2 linked regions of the Astyanax mexicanus genome follow. The protein of the gene in region 1 interacts with the protein of each later gene in a pairwise test. Links are inferred from orthologs where the notes say so. Each region holds a gene or a part of one and is shown in the gene's direction. Other genes may lie near its edges.

Evidence for each region.
Region 2: the proteins of rwdd1 (region 1) and drg2 interact in binary tests that used the Homo sapiens proteins (3 or more experiments, as listed by UniProt). The link is inferred for Astyanax mexicanus from reciprocal best matches to the Homo sapiens genes RWDD1 and DRG2.

What each region holds. Positions count from the first base shown.
Region 1 is NC_064411.1:31,734,423-31,741,757, forward strand, and holds the start of rwdd1 (RWD domain-containing protein 1), read left to right. Parts: upstream 1-4,309; 5' UTR 4,310-4,411; coding exon 4,412-4,484; intron 4,485-7,335. UniProt on the Homo sapiens protein: Protects DRG2 from proteolytic degradation.
Region 2 is NC_064410.1:54,129,120-54,136,421, reverse strand, and holds the start of drg2 (developmentally-regulated GTP-binding protein 2), read left to right. Parts: upstream 1-4,070; 5' UTR 4,071-4,124; coding exon 4,125-4,188; intron 4,189-4,910; coding exon 4,911-5,071; intron 5,072-5,156; coding exon 5,157-5,246; intron 5,247-5,324; coding exon 5,325-5,385; intron 5,386-5,475; coding exon 5,476-5,566; intron 5,567-6,286; coding exon 6,287-6,359; intron 6,360-6,504; coding exon 6,505-6,595; intron 6,596-7,302. Other genes in the region: gfer (FAD-linked sulfhydryl oxidase ALR), read right to left, coding at 845-1,007, 1,600-1,805, 3,269-3,484. UniProt on the Homo sapiens protein: Catalyzes the conversion of GTP to GDP through hydrolysis of the gamma-phosphate bond in GTP. When hydroxylated at C-3 of 'Lys-21' by JMJD7, may bind to RNA and play a role in translation.

The sequences.
Region 1 (7,335 bases):
AGGGGGAAGCGGTGTACTTGTGTTGGTCCCGTGATGATAATCTTAAGTGTAACCATAAGGGGGATTCTCACGAAGACTTTCACATTAACATAAAAAAGTTTTTCACCTCATTGCAGCATTTTTTCAAGTTGAGATGCTCTTAGCTAATTTCACAAATAACTTAAAATGCTAATATGATAACAACCTATAACTTTGCCAGCTGTAAAAAGCCTTATATTGTGATAATATTCATGAAATAATTTATTTTTATATTTTTAAAGTAATGAGTATTAAACCATAACGGTAATGAGAAAAAATTCTTCGGAAACAGTTATTTTGTTTAAAATCAAGTACATTTTTTGTTCAAAATTATTTATATTATGTATAAATGTTGATATTTTAAATGACTTTAATCTATTTTATTGATTCGATATGCTTAGTACTTTTAATATGGTTTAACTTGAAATTAGAAGGAAGGGGTACGGACACATAACGGTGATGAGAATTTCCATATATATTTTTTTTAATTAATTTATATAAAAATAATTTTCTATGATAATGAAAACAATTGATCCATACAGTACTACCTATTTGCTTTACACACAATATCAGAGTTTTTGTGAATTAAGTACTGATTTTAAAAATTGTCATGGACATGTTGCATGCAGCTTCATGAGAATCACCCATAACACCGATTAAGCAGCTTATAAAGCCAGACCTTGTAACAAGTGGGAACACGTAATTAGGTCGACACATGTCAATTGGGATCGGCCTATACTGGAATGTGAGGAAGAGCAAGAGGAACTGCTGTAGATCACCTAGTCTGGGGATGACTTTAAGGTTATGATGTCACTTCCTCCTTTGATAGAGTTCATCTCATTAGCCGCCTGGGTGGCAGAGGGGCTGTGAGAGAATTTTTCCTGTCAAAATAGGTTGGAAGGCTGCCGCGACAGGTTTTCGCTCTCACATTTTAGTACAATGTTCACTCACATGTTGATCAAGGGTTGAACATATGTAAATACATGATTGGAGGAATTACGGTTTGTCGACGTATCTGTTTGATACGTCGAAAGGGGGAATTGTGGGAAATCTTACGAAGAAACCTCGTTTTACCTTGAATATATTGACAAACATCTCACAATCATGATTACTTATCTTGGTATCTAAAATTACATAATCATCGTGTGAAACCTTGTATTTTATATGCACTAACCAATACTCACACTACATTTGATCATTTCATAACTATTTTATATGCATTAACCAATGTTAACACTATATTTGATCATTTTATTACTCACAGTATATTTTTTACACATTTATATAGAAAACTAATAGTGAAGCATTGTTTTTAACAAGCATGTGACTAAACACAGGCCTTAGGCTGACAAACTAACCCACATGATACATAAACGTATAGACCTAATTGTATAGCGGACAATCACGCGCCACTGACACCTCACTGAAACCCATTGTGTGATTGCATGTTTTTCTCACTAACAGCTACAAAATCAGCAGATAGTGCATTCTGCATGACCTCGCTTAATACAGAGACTTTTGGGCAGACAATACGGTCTTTCTCTCTCCGTGCGCGTGAAGACCTCCACCTGTCAAATTGAGGAGGGCATGCGCACGGGGAGAGAAACATTGTCTAATTACTGAACAATGCCGTGCTGTCTGGCTACTCATTCTCAAGGCCATACACTAGCGAATCTTGAGCTCTAACACGTAACACCATGCCTGCTGACATGGGATGATTTTTAGCAACGCCTCATCGGCAGATTTCGCGTCATTTTTGGTATATACATGGAGTCAGATCATTAGAGGTTCAGAACGTATGCTGGACGGTCGTAACCGTGTTTGTATGTTCTCCTGAATTCAGTAATAAATACTTGTTTTGCTTTCAACTTCACCTCCATCTGTTTTGACTCTCTATTCAACGAACGCGCATGGGAGTTGTAGCGGACACACCTTGTAAATTCATTTCTACAACAGCTGGAATGGCAGAACTTCAGAATCTTCCATACCTGATCTGATCAATGCTTTCTTATCTCCTCACAGCAATACTACAACACCAAGTATTGCTGGGCAGCGCTAAGTTGCTCATCTTTGGCACTCCGGCCTCTGGAGGGGAAGCAGCTAGCCGCAGGTTTCTATCGTGCAGCCAGAGCACAGACAGGAAACCCTGAGTAGGTTTACGACCACATAAAGGAAGGAAATGCAGACTTTGATAGTGTGGTTTTCATCAGCAGAAAGACAACATACATTAGTAGTCTAACATGAGTGTGCAGATTCTAACTGTAGCTAAAGTTAACTAAATGCTCTTGCATATTAATGTTTGAGATTTGAATCATTTGGACTGCACCACTAGCATCCGCATTTGTATGTAGTTGTAGTAATGCAAACCAATAAGGATGCAATGACAACTAATCAACACTTAGTAGCAGCAATGCCACCCAATCAGCATTCAGTAGCAGCAATGCCATCCAATCAGCACTCAGTAGCAGCAATGACAACTAATGAACACTCAGTAATAGCAATGCAAACTAATCAGCACTCAGTAGCAGTAATAATGCAAACCAATCAGCACTCAATAGGGGCTATGACAACTAATCAGCACTTAGTAGCAGCAATGCAAACCAATCAGCACTCAGTAGCAGCAATGCAATCGAATGAGGACTCAACAATTCAGACTAATCAGCACTCAGTAGCAGTAATGCAAACCAATCAGCATGCAGTAGCAGCAATGACAGACAATCAGCATTCAGTAGCAGCAATGCAAACCGGTAATGACAATGGTACTCAGTACTCAGAAGCAGCACTGCCATCCAATCAGCACTCAGTAGAAGAAGTGCCATCTAATCAGTACATTAGCAGGAACAACAACCAATCAGGACAGAGTAACAGAAGCGTCATCTAAGTGTACTCAGCACTCAGTAGCAGTAAGTCTAAACATACAACAATCAGTGCTCAATAGCAGTAACACCAACCAATCAGCATGCAATAGCAGTAACACCAACCAATCAGCACTATGGAGAAAAAATCTGATTTAAGTAGCATTCCATTTAAACAATTAATTTTACTGTGTACTTTGGTTACTTGCAAGGTCTTTTAATAATGCATAGTCATAAGAAATTACCAGGTGCCTCTAAAACTGTTTAAACTGTTTAAAATCAGTACGTTACTAACTTATTTTTTTCAACTCGTAGTTGTAGTGTTTATATATTTGCTAAATAGCACTAAAGTGTTTTTTACCTGAATTGTTTTAATGCGATCAGCGGATAGCGCTTTTTAACAACATTATTCTCGGCCAAGAGCTGTTTGAGCACTTTATGCACTATAACTAGGACACTTACCTAGTGACCTCGCTAGAGCGCAGTGTGTCTGCGTTCTGTATTCTTACCGACTTGTAATGTCTCTTACTGTGGCCGCGTCCCATTAAGAATGAGTAGTGGCTTACTTTAAGAGTACATTTCAGGATCGTTTTACTTTGATATAGTTATTATAGTTTAGTATAATTAATATTACTTATATGGCTTATTGTATTATTTATTGTATCGTCAATACAATCTCTACACTGTGGCATCATCAAACAATTAAAACGATTTTTTTATTTATAACTGGTTAGACTGCGTGCTAACTTACAGCTTGTAAACTAGCCAACTAGAAAACTTTTAAATTGTATAGTGATATGTATTAAAATGTAAATTTGTACATGTTGTAATGGGACGCGGCCACAGTTCTTAGTCACAGACCTTAGTAGTCGATATAGATAAAATCGTTTTTTTTTTTTTTTTTTGCTGAAGGCGCAGATAAAGCCTGAGCCCAATTCATATCTCAGTAAATTACAGCACACCGCCAAAGGGAGCCCGCGAGAAAGCTCAGAAGTAATGGGGCGAATAAAACTAACTAACTACTTAGCCTGGATATTCCTTTAATTTTGGAACGTAAAATAAACTATTTTGCTTAAAAAAAAAAAAAAACAAGTAAAGAAATCTTACATGTTTACTTTTTCTGCGCTAGAAATGCGCACGCTCTCCGCTTTTAGACTCTTTGGCTCGTTTCTGACACCTAGCGTCTTTGAATCTCACATTATAAAAAACAGCGGGCCAACTTTCATTCTATTTCTAAAATACCTCGCGGGCCGCTCCAAAAAGGAAACGGGCCGCAGTTCGGACGCCCCTGCTTTAGTTCTTCTATATTAAACGGGTTTTAGTCAGTAAAAGCGCTACATTAAATTAGTATGAACTGAACTTTCAGACGTTAACTGCTAAAGCAGTGCACCTATACCCGTGTGAATTGGGACGCGGTCAGAGTTTCAGGCATTACTAGTCGATAGTGGAGAAGATCGAGTGCAGCCTCTCTTCAGCGGACAGGCACGTTTCTGAGGGCCGGTGGGAGCGGAGCTGTTGATGGACAGCAGTGAAATAAAATGACCGACTACGGAGAGGAGCAGCGGAACGAGCTGGAGGCGATAGAGTCCATTTACCCAGACTCGTTTACAGGTGCGGCTCAGTGGTGGGGTTAGCCTAGTAAGCTAGCTGTTAGCCCGGCTGGCTGCTCCACTCTCCCTACTGGAGCTTCAGAGCAGCGGCTAGAGCTAACCCTGTGTTCTGTCGAGTTGTGCTACCCTGTCAAATCGTGCTACCCTAGTGTATGTTTAACTGTAAAAATACAAATAATTAGAACATGCTGCATGCAGTTGTGTTGTTGGTATGATCAAATTTGAATAGCCTAAATCGCTGTATCAGGAAAAATGTATAATATAACGTTAGGTGGTTTAAAATGTAAAAAACATTTATATATACATTTTTTATTACTTTTTTTTTACACGGTTGTAACACTAAAGCAAGCGATGACTGTGAGTCCAGATTGTACAGTGCACCCGGGAAAAATAAAACTAAATTGGCAGGAAAAAATAGAAAAAGCACATGAAAACAGTAAAAGTGTGAGTTTTGCGCATGCGCAGAGCCGCTAAGTAGCGCATATCGAAGGGTAGCACAACTCGACAGAACACCCCGGCTCGGTTAAACTAGCCTGGCCTAGTTTAGTTTAGTTAATTTAAGCTAAACTAAGTGTAATTCCTGGTTGTCTAATATGAGTAAGATGTGTTTTTTAAACGCTGTAAATGTGAGCAGGGTCTGCGTGGAGCTTAATCTAACAAAGTTACTGAAATTATCCGTTCCACCTTAAAAATAACTGTATTTCTATGCCACTGCTGTAGCAGTTGACGTGTATTATTGTGTCGGCTAACGTAGTTATGTTGCTTAAGCTAGCTAACCTGGCTTAGTTAAGTTTAATATGTGGCTATATGAGAGTAAATTATGGTTTATGCTGTGTGGAGCTTTATCTAACAAAGTTATTGGAGTTCTCTGTTCCACCTTAAATGAGCAGTAGTTATACGCGATTGCTATACCATTTAAGGTGGAACTGTAAAGTAGCTAGTTTAATTGGTGGCTGTTTGGAAGTACATTAGGGTTTAAATGCTATGAATGTGAGCAGGGCGCTTGTATGAATTCAATAACTAACAAAGCTATTAAAATTCTCTTATTAAAGTTCTCTTAAAATGAACAGTAGTCAAACGCGACTGCTTTATAATTTAAGGTGGATCGGGGAATTAGCTGACTTAAGTTTAATATGTGGCTATGAGAGTTCTCCGTTACACCTTAAAATGACCAGCAGTTATACCCCGCTTCTATATTATTTAAGGTGGAACGGAGAATTAGCTTATCAGCTAACGTAAAGTAACTTGTTAGCTAGCTAAGTAACTTAGCTCGGTAAGCTGACATGTTGTACCTTAGTTAACGAACCTACATAACGCTAGCCAGTTAAGCTAGGTGTAATGTGTGGTTATATAAGAGTAAAGTGGGGTTTAAAAGGTTGTGAATGTGAGCATGGTGTTTCTATGAAGGCTGCGTGGAGCCTTAACAAAATTCCCATGACAAAGTTATTGGAATTTACGTTACACCTTAAAAGTAGCAGCAGCTATATGAATCGCTGTACCATTTAAGGTGGAATGGTGAATTAGCTTGTCAGCAACGTTAGTTATTTAGTTAGTTAGGTAGCTAAGTAGCTGGCTAGGTTAGCTAAAACACAAGTACCCAGACAACATGCCCATGTGGAGCTTGTGTGGGTAGCAAAACGTTTGGCCCCCAGATGTAATGTTGGCCCCTCATGTGGATGTCAGTGAGGGGACCAGGCAGGCCCCATCTGATCTGTACACTGCATATGTGGCCTAGTTGGGACCCACCTGCAAAGGTGTCAAAAGTATTCACATTAATTACTCAGGTAGAAGTAAAGATTCTAAGGTTAAAAATACTTCTGTTGAAGTATCTGTTGAAGTTGAAGTATCAACTCTACTCGCTTCTTATTCAAATAAAAGTGTAAAAGTACTGCTTTCAAAACTAATTGAAGTATAAAAGTAAAAGTAATGTACCTTAGGACATTTCGCTTAAGTTCTCGTAAGTCTCTGTACAGATTTTCTTCATACTAGATTACATACAGGGGTTGGACAATGAAACTGAAACACCTGTCATTTTAGTGTGGGAGGTTTCATGGCTAAATTGGAGCAGCTTGTTGGCCAATCTTCATTAATTGCACATTACACCAGTAAGAGCAGAGTGTGAAGATTCAATTATCAGGGTAAGAGCACAGTGTTGCTCAAAATATTGCAATGCACACAACGTTATGGGTGACCTACCAGAGTTAAAAAAAGGACACATTGTCGGTGCACGTCTTGCTGGCGCATCTGTGACCAAGACAGCAAGTCTTTGTGATGTATCAAGAGCCACGGTATCCAGGGTAATGTCAGCATACTACCAAGAAGGACCAACCACATCCAAGAGGATTAACTGTGGACGCTGTAAGAGAAAGCTGTCTGAAAGGGATGTTCGGGTGCTAACCCGGATTTTATCCAAAAAACCACGGCTGCTCAAATCACGACAGAATTCAATGTGCACCTCAACTCTCCTGTTTCCACCAGAACTGTCCGTCGAGACAATAAATTATTGTGGTCTAAAACCAGGTGTTTCAGTGTCATTGTCCAACCCTTGTATGTCTGCTATGTTCTTGCTGGAGTGTGGGCGTGACGTGTGCAGGTGTGATTGTATAAATCAATAGGGTGTTGGAATGGTATATGTTTATACTTCTCATCCCACCACAGTCAGATTTACTCTTTCTGGATGAAGAGGTTTATCTGGATAGGGTTTTTTATAAGATGCAATTAAAACAAGCTAAAATTAAATAGGAGTAACAAGGCTAGTTTTAAAATGTAAGAAGTAGAAAATTCAGATAATTGTGTGAAAATGTAGAAGTAAAACTGTGTCAGAAAAATATTTACTTTAGTAAAGAATAGAT
Region 2 (7,302 bases), on another chromosome or scaffold:
TACACCATACATTATACCTGATATATCACTTCCTTTATTGCAGATTGTTGAATGTGACAGACCACAATAACACTGTGACAAGGCTTATTCTCATCAATGCCATTTTGAGGACATGGACAATAAAAATAACAGTTCTATATGATTCATTATCTTTACAAGCAAATAGACTCAGAATTACAAATATGAGCACATCACTAAAAATATAATCATAACTATAGTGGGCCAAAGTTGTACATATTGTTGCTGACACAAAAATTTGGTATCTCCAAAACGTTTTGTTTACAGGAGAAAAAAAACTTCCTTAACTTTCAGTGAAAGTCAAGATACAAAGCTATTCCAACTTTGGAACATTTCAACATTTCATTTCTAAATGAGGTTTAGATTTAATGTTAAGAACCACTTCCATATTCACATTAAAAAGTGAAAAACGACAAAAGAATAGCATTATAAATGTTATGTTGGAGGAAACGGGTCAAATTGGGACAACTGTCAAATATTGAGCTGCAATCAAAAGGTCTGCCATGTTTTAGATGGTCAATGTGGTTGAAATCTGGTCATCCAAGCTACAAAATACTTATATTTTGGTAAACCAGTTCTTGACCAAGCTGGTTGTAAAGAAAGTCATAATAGCTGATTATTTTGTTTAAATTTCATGTTGGTCTTAGTAGTCAACAAGCCTGTGTACAGCAGCAATATGTATAACATCATGTACAACATATCAGGTATATGAGACACAATAGCCGCTTCCAACAACAGTTATTATAGCCCAAGGCAAAAAGTTCAAAGCAGCTGATGGTTCTGTTTTGTGTTTTCCAGTGAATCAGCTGTGGAGGGCATGTCAGTGTCAATCACAAGAGCCATCTTTCCAGCCATCTCTCCACCGCTCGTCCACTCTGCTGCAGTCAAACTCTGGCTTGCCTAATCGGATGTTGATGCCATTATGGAGACGACACATCCATTGTGAGAGGTTGTGGCGGCTGCTGGTGTCTGGCTGGTTTGTTTTCAATCTGGCAACAGATAGAAACGATGAGTCAAAAAGGGGACAGATGCTCAAGTGAACATACAGCCAAAAGCACAGTGGGAAAACAACAATTAAAACTAAAAATAAAGCATCCAACCCCAGTAATAACTCTTCAGGCAGTATATGTATATATGCTGGATATATATATATTTTAATTGTCTGAATAAGCTTGATACTTCGTGAGAGATAAGAGTCAAATAAATTTGGCAGACAAAACACTATATGGACAAAAGTATTGTGACACCTGCTCATTCTTTGTTCTAAAAAAAAGAGTTTATCTTGCTTATGCTGGAGTAACTGTCTGCACTGTGCAGAGAAGGCTTTCTTCTAGATTTTGGAGCATTGTTGTGAGGGGACAAAAGCCTTAGTGAAGTCCTGACCTCAGTAAGGCTTTTGTCACTGAACACAATCAAATACTTCTCCATAGAAATTAAACAAGCTATTTCTATATATGTGCACATCTACGTCAGCAATGAATTTATTAAAAGGGGGGGTCCACAAACATTTTGACATAGAGTGCATGTCTGCAGACAGCTAGATCAATCCTGCTAATATATTAAATACTGTGTATATCCCACCTTGTTCTCAGGTCCTCAGCGCATTCGTCACATGGGAAGAACTTTGAGAACAGGTTGATAAACTGGCTCATCTCTTGTTGCTGGGATGTGCTGGGAGTATCAGGGTAGTAGGCAGCCATAGTGTGGAGTAAAGACCATGAACTCCTCCCGAGCTCCTCCCTGTCCAGGGGACACTCCACCAGCTTCTCCTCAGCCACCTGAGTCTCCTAAAAGCAAAATTTCTAGTTTAGCCAAGATGGTATTTTCTACATTTATTGGCCCACAGAGTAAATTGGTAAACTGTAAACTGTTTTGTTTGTTTCTTTTAATAAGGAAACGATTCATAGCATCAAATCGAGTCAGCAGCATCTCTTGACCATACTAAAAGGATTATAGAGTATTGGCTTTCTGTATTAGCCTGTATATTATCATCATGAAATAACCTTGTACATAAAAAATATCGTAACTTTTATAGGAAGCTAATGTTCAAATATTTTATTCCAAGCCACTTTTAAGCATTTCTATTGGTGGACAGATGACACTTTCGTCATTAAGACAACTGTCAAATTAACCAGTAAAAAGAAAATAAATGTTTTTAGTGCAGGATGGTGGCAAGTATGTATGAATGATAACAATAATTGTAAATTTGTCTGGGGCTGACATGAATGAGATCTTCAAATACCATGTGGAATTTCACCTTATTGATTTTAACCTGTGTGCACAATTGCTAAATAGCCAGGTTGCCAGGTACTTTTAAAAGTATGAAATCAGTTTGAGCAATACTAAAAACAAGTTTTCTTTAAAGAAGAGATCAGAACTCTATGCAGAATATGTAATTATTTTAAACAAACATAACTTGCTGTGAAAAGACAACTCATACCTGTATGTTTAGAAGATACATACTAGTGCATCTCAAAAAATGACATTAAAAAGTTGCTTTATTTCAGTAATTCAGTTTAAAATATGAAACTAATATATTATATAAATGTTTTACACACAGAGGGATTTATTTTAAGTGTTTATTTCTTTTATTGTTGATGATTATGGCTTAATACTACATAAGATTTTGTCAGTGTGGGCAGTGTGATAAGTCTTGCTGGAAAATGAAATCAGCAGGGGGAAGCATAAGGTGCTGTAAGATTTTATGGGAAAACACTGCAATGATTTTGGGCTTGATATTACACACTTGATCAACACCCCTAGATGACAGGGTTTTTCAAACCATCACTGATCATCAGTAAATTTTACATTTCATTTGGAAAATCAAGGGACCAGAGTCTGGAGGAAGAGTGGCGAGACACACAGTCCAAACTGCTTGGGTCTAGTGTGAAGTTTCTACAATCAGTGATGGTTTGGAGAGACATGTCATCTGCTGGTGTTGGTCCACTGTGTTATACCCAAAGTTCTAAGTTAGAGCAGTGTTTTCCCGGAAAATCCTACAGCACTTCATGCTTCCCTCTGCTGACAACTTTTATGAAGATGCGGATTTCATTTTCCAGCAGGACTTGGCACACTGTCCACACTGCCAAAAATACCAATTGGTCTTAAATTATATTCTATATTTCTGAGACACTGATTTTTGGGTTTTCACTGTTTCACATTTTGAACTGATTTACAGAAATAAAGTAACTTTTCAATGATACTCTTATTTTTCAGGAAACTTCACCACACTGTCCAGTCAGTCACTCACCTGTGCTGGGTTACCTGGGGCAGCCTGCTTCTTCTGAACTTTCATCCATGACTTAAAATCTGTACACGCTCGACACGGCTTCTTTTTCACGCCCTGTTCTTTTTCTGAACTTTCTCCAGGCGGTTTGACAGGTGGAGGGAAGGGGAAGCCCTCCATACCAGTGCTGTTACTGTTACTGTCACTGTCCCCGTACCGCGACCCTGACGGAGCTGCCATGACGGCTGTTAGTTAGCTTACTTAGCTAACGTAAGATAGCTAGCTGTTAGCTAACCTAATGTTTGCTTAGCTAGATTTAAAGCTACGTTTCGTACCATGGAAGAGGGCAAGACTCGTTTGGTCAGTTTAGAAACATCAGAAAACGTCTCATCTTGCAATTAAATTCGGATTTATAACAGTTTAGATACTATTTCAAATTCTAGAATAACTAAACTGGCTAGCTAACTTAGCTAGCATTAGTCCGTGTTCAGGCGGAACGATCAGTCCGCAAAGCCGTGTTTTCAGCGGACAGCTTACAGAGCGACACCGCGTGCTCTCCGGTGCTGCTAGAGAGTGAGTTCGGTTTCTCCCAACTTTTACAGCTCTTATTTCTATACGTGAGTGTTAAATTCTAAAGTACCCACAAATAAACACCTATATCTTAATTTTCATGTGCATGTCGAAGCCGGAAATGCCATCGTTTAGCGGCTTTTCTGTAAAACTGCTCGATAAGTTTGCTAGTTATCTATCTACAGTTACTAGTTGCTTCTATTAGCTACCCTAGCTAATCTAATCTAGCGGTCTGTCTGTCTGTGTTTCTGTTCAGCTGCTCCTCTCACAGGTCTCTTCACCGTCCTGAGGACCTCACCCCTCCCTCAGCATGGGGATTCTGGAGAAGATAGCCGAGATTGAGAGAGAAATCTCTCGGACACAGAAAAACAAAGGTAGCTTAGCTAGCCGGCCAGCCCAGACTGCCACGTTAGAAGGTGCTAAATCCAGGTCCCGAAAGTACAAATCCACACCACTGTTTTGTACAGTCCGGCAGCATGAATGTGGATCTATTCTAAAGCTAAATCACACTGACAGCTGCCACAAAATACTGGGGTGGGTTTTGACTTCATGGATTTGGATTTGGCACTTCTGTATACCTGTACAGCTACAGCCAGCTGTTGGATCTTTGTGGAAGGTGATTTTGCACCGCCTCGAAAACCCAAAATCTTAATAAGCGAAAATATCTAATTTCAAGGTGTTTGTCTTACTAAGCATTATAATTTGATCTTAATTTCTTATCAATTAAACCATTAATTATTATTTTATTGTATTATTTTATCTATTTTTCGTTTATTTAATGTTATTGTTATTTTATTTTATTTTAATCTAATATTATTAAATGTAGTTATTAATTGTCATGCCAATCCCTGTTTTTGTAAATGCTTAGCTTTATTAAAAGATGAGGGTTGCCCTAAATGTACTTCCGAGGCAAAATAAAGGTTGATTGATTGATTGAAGTGTAAGACTGTTTTGTTTATTTAGGAATAGGAATAATACCCTTAATCAGTCTCAACTACAAAGTTCACTTTATTTTAAAGGAGAAAAACGGTGTGAAATGGATGTGGGGTGTAGTGAAAAAAAAGTATGTCCTTATCTGTGTTAAACATGTTTGCAGCTACGGAGTACCATCTAGGTCTGCTAAAAGCCAAGCTAGCCAAGTACAGAGCACAACTTTTGGAGCCTTCAAAATCAGCAGGAGCCAAAGGTGAAGGTTTTGATGTTATGAAATCAGGAGATGCCAGGGTGGCTCTAATCGGGTTTCCATCAGTTGGCAAGGTAATCAGAGTATCTATTTGTGTATGTGTGTTAATTACCAGTTATACAGTTTGTTATTTTGCATTAACAATCAATTCTTTTGCAGTCTACCTTTCTTAGCTTGATGACATCGACAGAAAGTGAAGCTGCTTCATATGAGTTCACTACATTGACTTGCATTCCAGGTGTCATTGAGGTACCTGTCAATTTGAATTTTTATATTTCTGGAGATTTTAAATTATTTAAATGTTTCATCATGCTCTCTTTCTTTCAGTACAAAGGTGCCAATATACAGCTGCTGGATTTGCCTGGAATTATTGAAGGAGCTGCTCAAGGTGTGTGGTTTTTGGATGTTAGTGGATGTTGACATTTTTGTTTGCACTTGTTTTCTTGATTCTAATAAGTTAATGTTGTTTTCCATACAGGAAAGGGCAGAGGTAGACAGGTCATAGCTGTAGCCAGAACTGCAGATGTGGTTATCATGATGCTGGATGCAACCAAAGGAGAGGTTCAAAGGTGAGTAATATGCCTCGTTGAGACTTGGTCATGGATTGTGACTTGCCACATGTGATTACACTTGGTATGCAGATGTCTTTAATATTGTGCAGTTATGGTACATAACGTGGACAAGTTTTTTAAATAAACATTTATGAGACTAGCCCATGTGCAGTTAAAATGCTTGTGGTGAGCTTCAGGTAGTTAGAACAGGGTAGGACTGATATACATTTAGATATACAATATAATATTATAAATAAAACAGAAAATGTACTGAATATACAGAAACAGATATATTTTTTTGCAAATTTGCCCTCAGGGATGAATAAAATCTTAGACATATTCAGAAACAGGAAGCTCCTATCAAATTAACTAAAAATAATGAAAAAATGAAATTGGCAGCAGCAGCAATAGTTGGGGAATAAAAAAAAATACATTTACAGCATTTAGCTGACACTTTTATCCAGGTTATTTACAAGGTTATTTTTATTACAAAAGTTGCCCAAGGACACTTATTGGTGTAGTGCAGCATTTAGTCATCCAGACCAGAAATTGAACCCCAGATGTGGTAGCTCACTAGCAGGTAGTGGTGTTCTCCACTGCGCCACACCACCAAAATATTGTGCACCCTTTATTGAGTATTGTCTATAATATTTCTATCTGGCTATTTCTTCCTCATAGGAACCCTCATAGTGAATAAAAAAGATAAAGTGTCCTATGATTTATTTTTTAATCTTTCAGGGAACTTCTTGAAAAAGAGCTTGAATCTGTTGGCATCAGACTCAACCGGTGCAAACCAAACATTTATTTCAAGGTACTTTTTACATTCTTTACCTTCCTGCATTCAGGAGTACTTAAGGTGTTTAACATTTAACAGTTTGCATGATACATATCCTCTGATTTGGACCTTGAACTGTGTTCTTACAAAAGTCTTACAAAATATTCTCTTCTCATTTCAGCCTAAGAAAGGAGGTGGCCTCTCCTTCAATTCAACACTTCCTCTCACATACTGTTCAGAGAAGCTTGTTCAGCTCATTCTTCATGAATACAGTATCCTTTATCAGCATTGCTGTCTGTGTTGGTAATGATGTAAGGTACCCCTGACACGTTAGTGACACAGACAATTGTATATACTTACCTGTTTTTGTTTAGCACTGCTCAAACTTACCTGTAGGGTCCTAAAAGAGTAAGACGGGATAAATTACTGAGCTTTACTAACCTGAATGAGTCTATCCAACAAAAATATATGTTAATTACGTGTACACATTTGGCTCTTTTCTGTCAAATAACCTCTGGTTCCTCACGGTGCTTTTCAGTGAACCAGACCATGTTTCCAACAGCTTTAGTGGGAACTCTCAAATCAGCTAATTATACGACATCAACAGCGGGTGCTGCACAGTGGCAGTGAACATGGTTTGCACTGAAGGACCCAGTATTTTTTTGGTTCTCATTACGAACGAACATTCCTGGTTCTGGAACCTACTTTTGTTGGTGGAAACATGTCGAACCAGTTCAAATTTAGGTTCGCAAACCAGAGTGATGCCAGTCCATGTCGGTGGAAAAATTTTAACTGTGTATGTTAAAGAGTGATGGCAATCGCATATATACTGTAGGGGGGGGATACCTGTTTAAAACAGCCCAGAAATGGAGGTACAGGGCTCTTCCCAATAAGGTAGCAGTTGCCTTGCTTGAAGGTGTGCGTGTGTGTGTGTGTGTGTTTATTTTTTAACGACATACTTATAAATATATATGACGGG